3 linked regions of the Danio rerio genome follow. The protein of the gene in region 1 binds, or shares a complex with, the protein of each later gene. Links are inferred from orthologs where the notes say so. Each region holds a gene or a part of one and is shown in the gene's direction. Other genes may lie near its edges.

Region 1 (5,040 bases):
TCATATTATTGTCTTATTCAGATTTAGGCGAATAATTAGATACATTTCCATCTAAATGTTGTCACAAGCCCCAACCCTAAAAAAAGGTGTTCCCTGATTTTGATGACAGCCTTTCCACAGGTTAGTAGTAATCTAATGTAATATTATTTGCATAATGCAAATCTTAAATTCATGCTTACAAATGATCAAAAAATTATTAATGCAATTCAAATATATAAAATATGATTGTGTATACATTAAACTTTAATGATATCGTTCAATATATATATATTTTGTCAATAAAAGATTTTTCCAGAGTCATCCATCATAAATTTGTGACTAAAAAGTATCGGTTCAGGCACCTTTTTGGCACCGGTACAATTTTAAAGGTATTGATGTAGCACCGATTGATTTAGTATCGAGACTGATTTAGATCGAAATAACCCCAAACAATACTTAACCCTAGTGAAAAATAATATTTACTGTTTTTAATGTCGAATTTGAAGTGTTTTTTTTTTCTACTGTTTCATTCATGTATTGATTTGTGGTTACTATTATGTAATATCTTTTTATCCTAAATAGTCATAAGTAGGGCCAGGCAGAAACTGCGGACATTTTTTGCCATTTCTTTGGAGAACTTTGTAAACAATCTGCAGATTTATCATAACTAAAAACTTAATATATGAATTAAAAAGCAATACCTTTTTAACTTTTTATTTAAAGTTGACAATGCAAATCCAACTAGATCCACTTATTTGGTAAACAAAATTCTCTCATATAATAGATCTACTAAAAGACAAAATATGACTTTACAATCTGTATTGTAAAGCAATCATATGAACATTTTAATATTACTATTATTACATCTCAATAATATTAGTGAAATCAATTTAAACACTGGATTAATATAAATGTACACACATTTATACAAGTAAATAAATAGACTAAATGATGGCCTAAAAATATGCAGAAATCTGTGGATTTCTGTGCGCTCAGATTCTGTGTGGCCTAGTCATAAGTTACTGAGAAGGTAATAAATCAACAAAAAATCTAATTGGCAGCTAAGATGCTGGTATTATGTGTTTTAGGATAAAGCAATGGGGTCTAATGTCATGCTCTCTGTTTCAGATGGTCTTGTGACGACTCGGTCACTCATTACATCTACCAGGGGAAAGTGGGAGACAACAGTAAAGAATACAGAGCTGTCAAAGAGAGAGGACTCTATATAGTTTCACAACACTGGCTACAGGCTGTAAGTATATGAAGTTACCTAATGAGTAGATATACATTAAGCATTCATTAGAGTTTAAAAACAAAACTTAAAGCATTGCCTCATTGTTACACAATGTCAAAATGTATTTGCATTTTCAAATATACAAATAATTTCAGTTACTTTCTTACTCCCAGGGCCATTTTAAATCGAAATTGATATTTAGCCGCACCATGTTGGTGTTTCGTTACATCTAATCTTTTTTATGAGGTGGGAAGATTAGGACATACACATACACACTGCAGACAATTTAGCTTAGCCAATTCACCTACAGCGCATGTCTTTGGACTTGTGGGGGAAATCGGAGCACCTGGAGGAAACCCACACAAACACGGGGAGAACATGCAAACTCCACACAGAAATACCAGCTGACCCAGCTGAGGTTTAAACCAGCGAGCTTCTTGCTGTGAGGTAGAGGTCTGCATTATAAATATAAATAAATATAAATAATCAATATTATTATTATTATTCATTTCCGAAAAGAAAACGGGAAGGGTCGGGCAGCGGGACAACAAATACTTAATATATGCGGGAGCGGTCGGGTTCGGGCTAAAACCTGGCAGGAGCGGGATTCAAAATATTGTCCCGCGCAGATCTCTACTGTGAGGCGATAGCGCTTCCCACTGCACCACCATGTAATAAAAACAGTTGTTTGTTACAAAGTATTTAATTCAGATATTGCTATTATTAAAGATACATTTTGAGCATTTGATGATGGGAAAATGCACCAAAATTTTCAAAATGTATTCTGAATAGAATGACAACGATCTAAAAAAAATAGCACGTACAATTCAATATCAAAACCATTAAATAAACCCCTAATGTTCTATTAACACCATAGAAAGAGGACACGTACCACAATACAACAGGTGTACATGACTGTAAGCTGACAAATTGACTGTTGGAGCTCCTGTTTGGCCATTTCAAGATTTTTTTCTGTGCTTACCAGTTATTATATGTATGTAAATGACTACACCATGCTAAAATATTCATTTGCTGTGAAAGATTTTGAGAAATAAATGACGAAGTAAATGATGAAAAAAAAAAGTAAGTAAAAGCTGAGAAGCTCTTAAATAAGTTAAATTTAGAAGCTCAAGACATAATCTTTAAACTAAAAACTTTTATTAAAATGTTGACAGTGGTTTGTGATATAAGAACTGCCACAGAGAATTAATTTTGATTTGATGATTGATTCAATGATTGATTTGAGGTAGCCTGCTATTTTTATTTGATGGAAGTAAAAATAGCCTATGCTGGTTTAAAAGGATTCACGAAGTGTTTTCGTTTTGTAATCTACATTTGCAATTTAAGTGAAAAATATCTAGTGCAGGCATTTATTTTTAGCCTTTTATTTTGTTTAATATTTTTTCTGTGCTGTTGGAAACACTGCAGGTGCTTTGAGATGTTCTGTTGATAATATGTTCGCATGTTAAAATAAATCAGTATTTTAAAATGCAATATTTAACGTGTCAGACACAAAATAGACACGTCAATTATTTTTTAAAATTAAATAATAATTTAATATTAATCTGACCACTTAATCATTAATATTGGGTTAACGAGTGGTGGTTGTTGGTTTGCAAAATTAACCGAAATGAGTATTTCTAGTTTCTTTTATCCTTGTTTATGTAAACCATTTTGAATTACTATTGTGTTTGAAATGTGCTACTGTATATAAATAAACTTGCCTTGCCTAATAATGGACATTAAAAATTGAAAGTAAATAATTTAACAGTAGTGCAAAGCTGGGGAATTCATTACATTCACTCACCATTCCTTTTTCAGTGTGCAGATGAGCAGAAGCATGTGTCGGAGTCGCTCTACCCTTTTACATTCAACCCTAAAATGAGCCTCACCATGAGTCAGATGGCAGATTCCACTCAGAGATCACCTCCTTCTGCCACCCCCCGCACCAGACTGAGAGCTTTCGCTGAGAATGAGGAGACCAGGGTGACCATTCATAACTTTACCACCAATCAATCCCAGCTTATCAAGTTTTTATTAAAGGTTATATCTTGTATATATTTATTCTTTATTTCTAAAGTTGGGCCCTGATGATGACATCACCGACGTCTCAACTCCTAAGCAAGGCAGTGTGGGAGAGCCTGAGAAAGATCAAACCATCAGCACCGAGAAGAAAAGCAAGTCATCTTTAAAGACATGTCTTTGATTTATTTATTATACATCTCTCTCTCTCTCTCTCTCTCTCTCTCTCTCTCTCTCTCTCTCTCTCTCTCTCTCTCTCTCTTTCTCTCTCTCTCTCTCTCTCTCTCTCTCTCTCTCTCTCTCTCTCTCTCTCTCTCTCTCTCTCTCTCTCACTGATCTTAAGTTAATTGACTCTTCCTTTAATTTTCTTATATTGTGCCTCCCTCAGATCTCACGGAAACACTGGAGATGAGGGAAAGTCTTCAAAGGCAGCTTCAGGAGATCATGTCTGCCACTAAACTAACCAGCGGTCGTCGAGGCTCCTCGCGGTTGGCCAAAACAGGCCCAGGGGGGCTGGACTCTCCCCACACCCCGGACAGCCTGGGGCGGATGAGCAGACGCAGTCGCAATTTAGAGGCCATACGGTATAAAAACAAGACTACACAGAATACTGTTTGATTCTCTTATTGTCTCAAAGCTTTTACCACTTGAGAGTATACATTGCATTTTCTGGTTGTTCACTTGAGAATTTAGACAGACAATGATTTTGATGATTTCTGTTGATGTGCATCAGATGCAAGGACTTAAGTCTTTTAATTTTTCAAAACTACATTTTAGGCCTTACAAAGTCTTAGGGCTCTAGTTTAACAATCTAGGCACACGGCGCATAAGCATTTACGGTGTGTCCGTGGTGGACTTTGTAAGTGGAAACCTGACTGCTTCACTAGCGATAAAACAGTTAATCAAACCTTATTCACCGCGAGGATAAAGAATGAGCCTCCTTTCATTTTCTTTCTCTTTACTTTTACTCTCTCTCTTCGTGGAAAGGAAACAGTGTTGTACGCTTTCCACTGAAGACATTCTTTAGCCTACATATTTAATTTTGTTTGTTAAGAACAAAGATTTGTTTTAAAACTATTTCTAAATTCAGGTCTAATTTCAGTCAAAAAACTTGAGTTATATCCTAACACATGTCCTATTCTTATGCCCCGTATGGTGATGCATACGTCTCCAAAACCAGTCAGGTGGACAAATCTAAACTTGTTTTTATAAAAAAATATAAACATGCATATAATAATTAAAACTGTTAATAATAATAGCATTATATAAATGCAAACTGTCATGAACAAACGGAAAAAAAGTCTTTTGCCTATTGCGCAAGGTGTACGATAGGGCCCTTAAATTCACTCAGATTTTTGTGTTGTAGATCTTACATTTTTAAACGGAACTTAATTTACCTGTCCATGTAAAGATCAGGCTAACACCCATCCTACCACCAACAATTTATCTCAATTAAGCATGTAACAAGTTACATTTATTACACTATTTTTATATGTGTATGTTTTTTTTTTATTATTAATTATGTATACAACTAGAATTTGTTTGTTTTGATACAATTTTTTAAAATCTAATGTAAATTCAATTTTATGGGGGCAGGGGACAATTACTAATCTTTTCCACTGGCAATTAGAAAAAATTGTTAGTGTTTAGCCCTTTATAATTCTGAAATTTTTTTTATAATAGTCTTGAAATTTTAAAAATCTTAAATTGGACTTTTCTGAAACCTGTAGAAACTGTGGTTATCATTAGACTCGAATGTTGAAAGATTGTGTGTTTGGCAGGATGTCACGTCAAGTATGTGTGGA
Region 2 (4,860 bases), on another chromosome or scaffold:
AAGTCTCTGCTGTCCGAAGAACGACCGACATGCGAAGCAACTTTATTGTTCCCTCTCCCGCAGACAGTGGTCGCTGCACGGGCGGATTGGGATGGATTTATAGCACGGGAAATCGCTGCGTTATGAATTTCATAAAATCTATGATTCTCAGCTGTGGACTGTATTCCCTCGAGATCTTGCAAGATTTGTTTACTCATTCTCCTCTCTTAAATACGTAAAAAGGAAGAATTGTGCGTTTTCTGAAAGCCTCTTGTTGTTTGTAAAGCAGGCCGCGCAGGCCTCGGATTTTCCTAAAAACTTGTCCGGCATGCTGCGATTGGCCCTTGGGGGAGTCGCGGCATTTTACACCCGGTAAGACCCTATAGCACTGCGCGCGCTGCAACAAGTCCTTTTGTTTAGCTGCGACTCTTATAATAGCATCCTACGTATTTCATTTCTAGCTAAATTTCTAAAATCTCTGAAACGTATCTTGGTTGAGTTGTAAACACAAAGATTAAGCAGGTTCACGTTGCAAGACGTTAACGATTATGCTATGTTATTAGCAGCTAAGCTAGCTACCAGCTTTTATGTTTCAACAAACTCTTTTCTGCTCTCAGAAAATGCGTTGCCTAATATAAAAACACACATATGATTTTAAATGTACAAATTCAGTGGATGCAATTAAATATTTGTGCATCGCGCTTTCATTTTTAGCATCGTCCCGTTGTAAGTCAACTCCATCTATGCAGCTCTAAACTATGTGAATTAACTGGTATCGCTAACATCATAGTAGATTTGTTATTACCACGTTATTGATAAGTTACTTAGGTTATTTGTGAAAGGTCGCTTTCACAAATGTGTAGTTTTTACAACTGTAATGTATAAATCTTTAATGAAGTGTTATGAGTCTTAACCCAAATACTTTTGACACAAACTTTTGTAAATAAATAACAGGACCAGAACATAACTTACAAGTTTTTCATGTATTTTGTGTAATATTTTAAGCATTTAGGCCAGACAATGTGTAGTTATAACGTCTTGTGGGCTATTTTGGCTTCACTTTAAAGGTATGTTTGAGAATGAATAAGAAGCTTGCAAAGATTGAGACTGTTGGCTATAGTAAAGGCAGCAGGTGCATAGATGTAGAAGTTTAGCCAAACACAGACTAATTCTTTTGTATTATTTTGAACACATTTCCAAAGTTTAATATTTTAAATAATTTACACATTCTATTTGAATTGTAGTTTGGCTATAATACGTTGAATTGTTCATTTGACAAATTTTTCTTACTTTCTCAACAGGTGTCGAGCCATGGTATGCACCTATTGCCCGGTTTGACTGCAACGGCTGAAGCATATTGATCTACAGTTGTCTGAAAGCTGTTGACACTGCCAACAAAATTTACTGTGAATCTGGTCTTTTCAACACCTCAACGGAATTGCTGACCTTTGTAAAGAAAATTGACACTCCACAGAGACAAATAAATAAACTGTGGTGCTTGGAAAAGAAGCAATACCATATTAAAAGACTTTTTTACATTAAGATAGTAGGCCGGAGGCTTTAGAATGGCATCTGTTCCGGTTTACTGCCTGTGTCGTCTCCCTTATGATGTCACCCGATTCATGATTGAGTGTGATGTTTGTCAGGACTGGTTTCATGGCAGGTGAGGTTGCAAAATTTTTAAATGACTGTTAAAAGCTAAATCTTGTACTTCTTATGAATGTGTTTTTTGTGAATGTAATAATATATGTTTTTTCTTTTTGTGTAGTTGTGTTGGTGTGGAGGAGGACAAAGCAGCAGAAATTGATCTGTATCATTGTCCTAACTGTCAGGTGACACATGGACCATCTGTCAGTAAGTGTCACAAATGGTGTAATAAATGTCAATTCTGACTATTTCTTAGTAAGTCTTTTTGTGGATTAAAAATAAATGTTTTCAGAGTATCTGTACCTATATTCATCTATTTTAAATCTCTGTTCATAGTCAATACAACCTTTATATAATCATGTTCATAGTACATCCATCTGTAAATATCACCCATAGTTTTTCTTTAATTGCACTTTATAACTTATACCTGTATCCTGCACTTGCTGCTGTTGCACTCCTGTTTAGACCTAAACTGCATTTCCTGGCCTCGTACTTGTGCATATTTAATGACAATAAAGTTGAATCTAATGTAATAGTGCTGGGTTAATTTGGTCTTTATGTTTATGAAATTGTATGGAAACTAATTTGCACCAAGTCAGAAACAGACTATTTTTGTTGTGTATTTTATGTATGATTATTCATAACTTCGATTTACAGCTTAGAATGGACTAATAAACATCTAAACTTGGAAAAATTTGACTAGTAACTATGATATCTATTTTTCTGTCAGTGCGTAAACGGCGAGGAGCTGTAAAACACGCTGATGTTGGATTGGGGAGAGACTCAGGGCGACCTGTGAAGACGGGCAGTGCTCAGTTTGTCAGAGAGCTACGCTGTCGCACTTTTCCCAGGTACATTTACACTATTGCTAGCTCAAAATGACCTCTAGGTAATTCTAGGTTGTCAATACCTCTAGTACTCTACATTTTAAAGGAACATTTCACTTTTTTTTACAAGTTACCTTAAGTTAAACAGTTAATTTTTTCCATTTTTGAATCCATTCAGCCGATATCCGGGACTGGTGGGAGAACTTTTAGCTTGCCATAAATCATTGAATCGATTAGCATCTTGCTTGTTATAGTCATTTTCCTATTTAAATCTTAACTCTTCTGTAGTTATATTGTGTACTCAGGGCCGGATAAATGTAAGGGCTAGGTGGGGCTTGATTAGCTAAAGGATTAATTTGCGGTATGACGAGGGAAACGCCTCTGCGTTGTGCTTACTCTACGAAAATAATGTGAAGTAATTCTTCCGGTTCGCTGCTGTTCAAAAACAGTGACGTCAGTGCTAAACTGGGGCTCAGTGGCTGTAGCCCAATCAGAATATTGAATATCCCTGTTTTAGTCACCCAAAGAGTGATCACATATCTCATTTTTACCAGGAAAGTCTTATTTTGGCACTACTGCAAGAACCGTCCAGTCAAAGTTAGGCTAACTTGTACATGTAACAACAGAAGCTGGGATAGGCGGAACTGAAGCAATGTCTCGACCGTGCAGCGATTACAGCTGGACTCAAAGCGGCGCACACCCGCACAATCCTTCCATCACACAATATAACCGAAACAGTGTGCGATCAAATCAAATTGCCTGTAAAGCATTTTCAAAATATCCATGGTTGTGGAGTATCTATCTCAAGTAAATACACTCTATGCTTTACAGCAGGGGTGTCAAACTCAATTCCTGGAGGGCCGAAGCCCTGCACAGTTTAGTTCCAACCCTGCTCAAACACACTTACCTGTAGGTTTCAAACAAGCCTGAAGGACTCAATTAGTTTGATCAGGTGTGTTTAATTAGGGTTGGAACTAAACTGTGCAGAGCTGCGGCCCTTTTGGAACTGAGTTTGACACCTGTGCTTTACAGTAAGTCTAACTGAACCAGTTAGAAAGCAAACTTTTTTTTTAATGGATGCTTACTTTGCCCCTTTTATGAAAATGATAGTAATAATATGGAGCAATGAAATATTGACCCTGGCTTTCATTAGACAATATATCTGATGCAAAAAAACAATAGATAAATAAACAAAATAAGGATAACCTTCTGTAACTCAGAAGACCACAAAAAGCTATTTTGGATATTAGAAGCATGGATATTAAAGATATTATATCATTAGGGATTTATGGTCACCTAAAGTTCTAAAGAACGTTTTTAAAGGTAAACCCCAATTTAAAGTATTAATTATAAAGCACTAATTGAGGTAGTATTGCAAAAGTTTTTTGTTTTGTTTTGTTGATGTTTGCAGCCTGTTTGAACTTTAAAGTTCATATTATGTCATTGCTTAATTTTGTATTCTTGCAGGCCTATTTTAATAAAATAGAAAAAAATCCATAATAATCAAATATAAAAAAATCTAATGGTGGAAAATTAGATAATATGAATTAGTAAATTATTACTAACCATAATAATAATACCAAAAACAACAATTAATAATAATATATACTTTTGTGAGGTAAAAAAAATAAAGGGGAGGGCCTTGGATTTGCTATAGCCCCAGGGCCCAATGTATTCCTAATCCGGCCCTGTGTGTACTAAGACTAACGGAAAATGAAAAGTTGTTTTTCCACCAATGATATTTTGCAGCACTGTTACCTAGCTGGGGACTATTTTCAGCTGCTGCATAATATCATTGCACCTGCTGCAACCATGGAACGGCAGCAAAGTTTCTTGATTATCATGCCAGAGTGAGAGCATAGCCACATCGACCTAGAAAATAGCAACCTTTATTTTTTTGTCACTCTTGGTGCACAATGTAATTACAGAAGAGTTGAGATTTAAATTAAATTATCAAAATGTTTTTTTTTTTTTTTTTACATTTTTGGTTGAGATGCTTATGGTCTAATCTGATTCAATGATTTATGCTAAGCTAAAGCCTTGTTTTTACTTCTGCGTCGAATGATCAGCGTGACCCACTGTGCCTGCCTTGCGTATAGTCCTGCATTTATAATTCTGCATGCTGTTTGTGTTGCTCTGCAATAACACTTGTGAAACACTAGCTGGCAGTAGGGTTTTTTGTTCATCTGTGTCGAGTTTCTTCGCAGGTGTTTTGTTTTTTCTGAACGCTACCTTGCTATACAAGTAGCTCAAACTCACGACTGATTGGATTTTAAAATGCTAAAATTGAACTCTTTAGCTTTATGTTACTATTCCTTGAAAATTAGTTAAATTTAATCTTGATCTGACTTTAAACAAATTCTTCACTTCTAATTGTGGGCTTATGCTTATCTGATGTTACAATAAT
Region 3 (5,069 bases), on another chromosome or scaffold:
TTGTATTTTATTACATTAAAAAATCATTTCACCCCTCCCCCCATTTTTATACCACATGTTATTATGAATTTATTATGTATCATATTGATTCATCAGGCCTTTTGGTAACTTCTTAGCTCAAAACTATTTTAATTTTAGCTACAAACAAAGTTATAACATTTCAATTAAATAGAACATTTCACACTGTTTGTTTCTGTTTTTTTTACACTAAACATTTGACAGTCTTTTTTATTTCACTTTTAGCAGTTTCAGTCAATTGTTCTTGCAAAGACAGACCTTCTGCCTCAGTCTGAATGTGAGAAGTAATTGCAATGTTCTTTTGCCCTTTAGGACTCCCATGTCTATCATTTTGTTTTGACAAATGTACAACAACAAGTCCAAAAGCAAGGCTAGTCAAGGTGCTATAATCATTTAGTAAGTGAAAATTAAATTAAGAAGAAATTTGGGGTGGTATGAGATGCATTTCTTTGTGACTTAACATGCTTAATGTAATTATACCTTTTACTATACTTCAAACTATTACAGTTGTGTTCAGAACTGCGAAAAGCATATTTTTAAGCATATTGATATCTTTATGAAAAAATATCTTTAATTTATTGATGGAAATATTTTCCACATTTTATCACTTGCCTGTTATAAAATATAGTTGGATTGAAGGGGGGCGCGCAAAAGTTGTAGCCGCATACCCATCAGTACATGTGAAGTTGTGCCCCTGTATACAGCTTATTATATACAATAAATGTATTATAGAATTTAACTTTTTTAAAGATGTTATTGCACAACTTTCTACTACTAAAATATTACTATCACAAATCGATGGTACAAAAGCACACATACTGTGCAAAAATGATTATTGACAAAGGATGAAGGTCTTCATCCAAACATAAACTCCTTCAAACAGGCCTTTTATTAATTATTGGTTAAAACATATTATACCCAAGTGATATTATAAGGAGAAACTAAAATGTTTTTTGTTTTGTGATCATAAATTTGTTTTAAAATTAAACTTTATCAAAGGGCTCACCTGAATATCTCTTTCTGGATAGATGGAATAACTATTTCCTAAATGATTTATTCAGATAAATTTTGACAAAGTAAAGTTGACATCAAGGTACTGAAACGGTTAACAGAGGGGACTTTGTTTGAAATGCTTTTATTTTGAAATATACAAAATTTAATTTATAGTATAATATAATATAATATAAAAAAATTATTTTGATTTATATTTGACGTAATAATCTATATAAATCTTAAATAATGCTCTGGACTGGTATGTGTCGAATATATATATATATATATATATATATATATATATATATATATATATATATATATATATATATATATATATATATATATATATACATTGTTATATGTTAATATTATTTAATTTCGCGAGTAATATCAGTCATTCCATTTTTGCGATGTTGTTTCTACAGAAAAAAATAATAATTTAAGAAAAGTGTCTTTTATTTTGCCTGTTGACGTCACATTGACGCACCGACGTCTTGTTTGTGATGCAGCGCGGGAGTTTCATTTTGTGCCTCATTTTATTTTTTGCTAATTTTACTCTTTCAAAAATGTAACTTTATTTCCGCGGTTATTCATTTTATACTCATCTAACGTAAGTCACATTACTCCTAACTTAGCATGCTAACGATAACTTAGCTTACGGTCGTTGTTTACATTCGGTACGTTAATACCAGTCAAACTTGAGAAAATAACTTTCTACGCTGTCAGTTTTGTCATATAAATGTTCGTATTAACCTTTAAACACTGCTTTTTACGTATGTAGTCGATTGAATCGTGTTTACTAGACACAAGTATCGCTCTTGTCAAGTGTCAGTTAAATATTAACGATAAATCAAATGGCAGTCAGTAAATGTTGTGTTTATCCACAATACACAGGCCTAATACACCGCTAATGTTTGTGTCCTCAGACTCTGACCTCCACTGGACACTGAAACCCACAGAATGGCAGCGACACCAGTGGAATATACCATAGGAGGGGTGAAAATAAACTTCCCCTGTAAAGCGTATCCCTCTCAGCTGGCCATGATGAACTCTGTAAGATATGTTGCACACTGACAGATGTGTTCATGTTTTACTCTTTACGAACAAGCATGCATGCCGTCCTTTATTTCTCACCCTAACATATTTATAAAGAAACTTGTAAAGAAGTTTAGTTAGTTGAACATGACGTGTCTGGTATTTTCATGTTTATCTTAGATCATTCGTGGACTTAACAACGGGCAGCACTGTCTACTGGAGAGCCCCACTGGCAGTGGCAAGAGTCTTGCTTTGCTTTGTTCGGCCCTTGCATGGCAGCAAGCTCAGTTTGGTAAGAAATGAGTCCATCTATTCTGTCTGTTATTGCAATGGTTTATACATAAATGGGAGATAAAGGTGATCAATAGCAACACATTGCATGTAAAAATGATTAGATAATTTCCATATCATTATAAAAATCTCTAATGGAATTAAATAAAATAATTAAAAATTCTTAAAAAAATTACTACAGAATTTCAAAACTGAAAGAACTGTTTAAAAGCTTATGGTATTAAAATGTTTATATAGAATGAATTGCATAATATTATTTTGTTATATATAAAGAGTTTAGATGCAAAAACCTCTAAATGGCACAATTTTCTCCTAAAATTATATATATTTTTTTAGCCACCTATATTTATATTTTGCTATTTCACGTTAAAGGCAATGAAAAGAACTTATAAATGAATTCTTAAACACACACAAGAGGCTGAGAAAATGCTTATTTTAGAAGAAAACAACAAATAGCATTTTGAGGTTTTGCAACTAAACGTCATATATTATATAATTTTTGCTGTCCCCCCCAGCTTTTTGATTCTGAAAAAAAAGGTTAATTTGATTGTCAAAAGTTTAAAAAACAATTTTTTTTTTTACCAGCCTTCAGTACTTAGTATTAGGATCCATTACCAATAATTCCATCATGCTGATGTGGTTTCATCATCATCATTATCATCATCATCATCATCATCAATAGTATCCATTGTTATTGTGAAATCCATGATACAATTTTATCATACTTTAATGGACCAACATGTCAAAAGGAAATCTCATTTTTAGCGCAATATCATTAGCCATTTTGGCAGTTAAATACCCAAGAACTCAGTGACATTTGTATGTTTGTGTATGTTTCATAGAGAATTTAATCTATGATTTTTTTTATCATACTGCATATTAAGTTAAGGAGCAAGATGCAGGCACTGGATTTGCTGACTGTAAGAAATCAGAAGTGGTTACTCCATGTCAGTGTGCATGCCATAGCCGAAATGCACAGTCCACTTTCAACACCAGAGCATCCAGACCACCTACAGTTCATCTTACGTGTGAAGGTACTTCCGCTCAGCCTACAACCCCTCTCTCAAAAGGAGGTAAGCGTTTAAAACATTTTGAATCGTAAGCATAAATTCTCGTTCACACTTGATAATCAAACTGTATACTCATTGGAAATGAACATGCAAGTAAGGCATGGAAGTAGCAGAAGGATTTCCACTTAAAGACAAATCCTTGTACATTGTTGATAAAATTAGTGTGACTGATGTCAAAGAGAAATCTGTTTATGATTTGTGTAATACATTTTGACTATAAAAAATATATTTTAATAGACTATATATATATTATAGACTATATATATATATTTATATATATATATATATATATATATATATATATATATATATATATATATATATATATATATATATATATATTTATATATATATATATATATATATATTTATATTTAATAGACTATATATAAATATATATTAGGGATGGGAAGATTAACCGATATGTATCGATACGCGGTCTTGCGCGTGCACGATGCGAGTGCATCGGTAGAGCAGCAGAGGATGAATGAAATTTTGGAAGCAAATCGAGATGCATCGGTTTTTGCGAGATGCATCGGTTTTTCCAAGATACAACTTATATTTTTAATATAGAATGTATTTTTTATTTATTAACAAATTTGTCAACCTGTTTTTGGCGCATAATTTAATCGACCTACATAAATTATGCATTAGCAACTAGGGGTGTAACGATATTAAAACCGACCCGAAATATCGCGATACACCAGCCACGATACGTATCGCGAAACTCTCGTGGCGTATCGCGGAACTCTCACTCCCCCTGCTGCCCATTGTTGAGGTTGACGTCACTTGTCTCTAACTAATTGAACCAATTTAAACACATCTTTATTATCACATTTAATTAAATTGTTTTAGTAATGATGAGGTTTTGTTCTAAATATTATATTCTAAAGTTAGTATTTTAGTGCATGTCATGTCATGTGACTTGAGTGAGCATCACACTCGTTACTACTGGACGCAGGATGGCTGCTTCACATAGTACTGAGATTGCAGATCCCCAAGACACATTTAAGTCATCTGTGTGGAAACATTTTGGTTTTCCAGTTGAGTACAGGAATAGAATTCGTGTCGTAGACAAAGCGCACGCCTGTCTGTCTTAACTGTTTCACGAAACTTACTTGTAAGGAAAAACATTTAAAAAGTGTGGTAATTTCACAATGTGAGGGTGTAAGCAACAGAACTGCCAACAAAAGTGATTTAATGTACAAAAGTGAAACCAGAATAATGCCAATATACAAAAAAAGAGAAATATTTACACTAATAAAAATAATATAATAAAGTAGCAAATTCAAACAAAAGTATCAAACAGAAATTAGTTAAACTCGATAGTGATAGTGAAGACAAACAAAAGAAATAAATATAATAAAACAATTCTAACTCATGAATAACCCCTTATCTCGCTAAAACTGATGAAAAGAAAAAAAAAGGTCTTCAGCGCCGTGCGCCGCATTCTTCCCTATACTGAATAAAATAAACAAAGATGACCTTCACCTCTTACCTGATGTCTTTAGCAATAAATTTTCTACGTGTTTGCAAAATGGAAATCGTATGACATTTTCCCTATTTACCTTACACTAAGAGTGAACAGCTATATTGTCGGGAAGGAGCGGATCCAAAAAATAATATACAAATCAATTGAAATAAAAATGTACAAACCTC

Evidence for each region.
Region 2: the proteins of topbp1 (region 1) and phf8 are in contact, whole or in part, in a crystal structure (PDB 7CMZ), measured with the Homo sapiens proteins. The link is inferred for Danio rerio from reciprocal best matches to the Homo sapiens genes TOPBP1 and PHF8. Residues at the interface, in NP_008958.2 of Homo sapiens: Gln1298, Cys1299, Arg1314, Asn1315, Glu1316, Leu1319, Arg1369, Ser1406, Arg1407, Gly1410, Phe1411, Arg1413, Leu1414, Arg1465, Thr1466, Glu1467, Ala1470, Asp1471, Gln1475, Asn1483, Tyr1484; in NP_001171825.1 of Homo sapiens: Gly842, Ala843, Cys844, Phe845, Asp847, Ala848, Tyr850, Ile851, Tyr852, Pro853, Ser854, Leu855, Glu856.
Region 3: the proteins of topbp1 (region 1) and brip1 are in contact, whole or in part, in a crystal structure (PDB 3AL3), measured with the Homo sapiens proteins. The link is inferred for Danio rerio from reciprocal best matches to the Homo sapiens genes TOPBP1 and BRIP1. Residues at the interface, in NP_008958.2 of Homo sapiens: Leu1272, Ser1273, Ser1274, Leu1275, Asn1276, Pro1277, Arg1280, Gln1298, His1311, Leu1313, Arg1314, Asn1315, Glu1316, Lys1317, Leu1319, Gln1366, Arg1407, Gly1410, Phe1411, Leu1414, Thr1466, Glu1467, Ile1469, Ala1470; in NP_114432.2 of Homo sapiens: Ser1129, Tyr1131, Phe1132, Thr1133, Pro1134, Glu1135, Leu1136, Tyr1137, Asp1138.

Annotation. Positions count from the first base shown.
Region 1 is NC_133199.1:10,073,950-10,078,989, forward strand, and holds part of topbp1 (DNA topoisomerase 2-binding protein 1), read left to right. Parts: intron 1-1,107; coding exon 1,108-1,231; intron 1,232-3,034; coding exon 3,035-3,199; intron 3,200-3,293; coding exon 3,294-3,390; intron 3,391-3,623; coding exon 3,624-3,819; intron 3,820-5,016; coding exon 5,017-5,040. UniProt on the Homo sapiens protein: Scaffold protein that acts as a key protein-protein adapter in DNA replication and DNA repair. Composed of multiple BRCT domains, which specifically recognize and bind phosphorylated proteins, bringing proteins together into functional combinations.
Region 2 is NC_133198.1:30,524,805-30,529,664, reverse strand, and holds the start of phf8 (histone lysine demethylase PHF8), read left to right. Parts: upstream 1-1,290; 5' UTR 1,291-1,544; coding exon 1,545-1,642; intron 1,643-1,747; coding exon 1,748-1,833; intron 1,834-2,356; coding exon 2,357-2,477; intron 2,478-4,860. UniProt on the Homo sapiens protein: Histone lysine demethylase with selectivity for the di- and monomethyl states that plays a key role cell cycle progression, rDNA transcription and brain development.
Region 3 is NC_133190.1:30,011,804-30,016,872, reverse strand, and holds the start of brip1 (Fanconi anemia group J protein), read left to right. Parts: upstream 1-1,499; 5' UTR 1,500-1,624; intron 1,625-1,940; 5' UTR 1,941-1,974; coding exon 1,975-2,067; intron 2,068-2,229; coding exon 2,230-2,341; intron 2,342-3,224; coding exon 3,225-3,413; intron 3,414-5,069. UniProt on the Homo sapiens protein: DNA-dependent ATPase and 5'-3' DNA helicase required for the maintenance of chromosomal stability. Acts late in the Fanconi anemia pathway, after FANCD2 ubiquitination.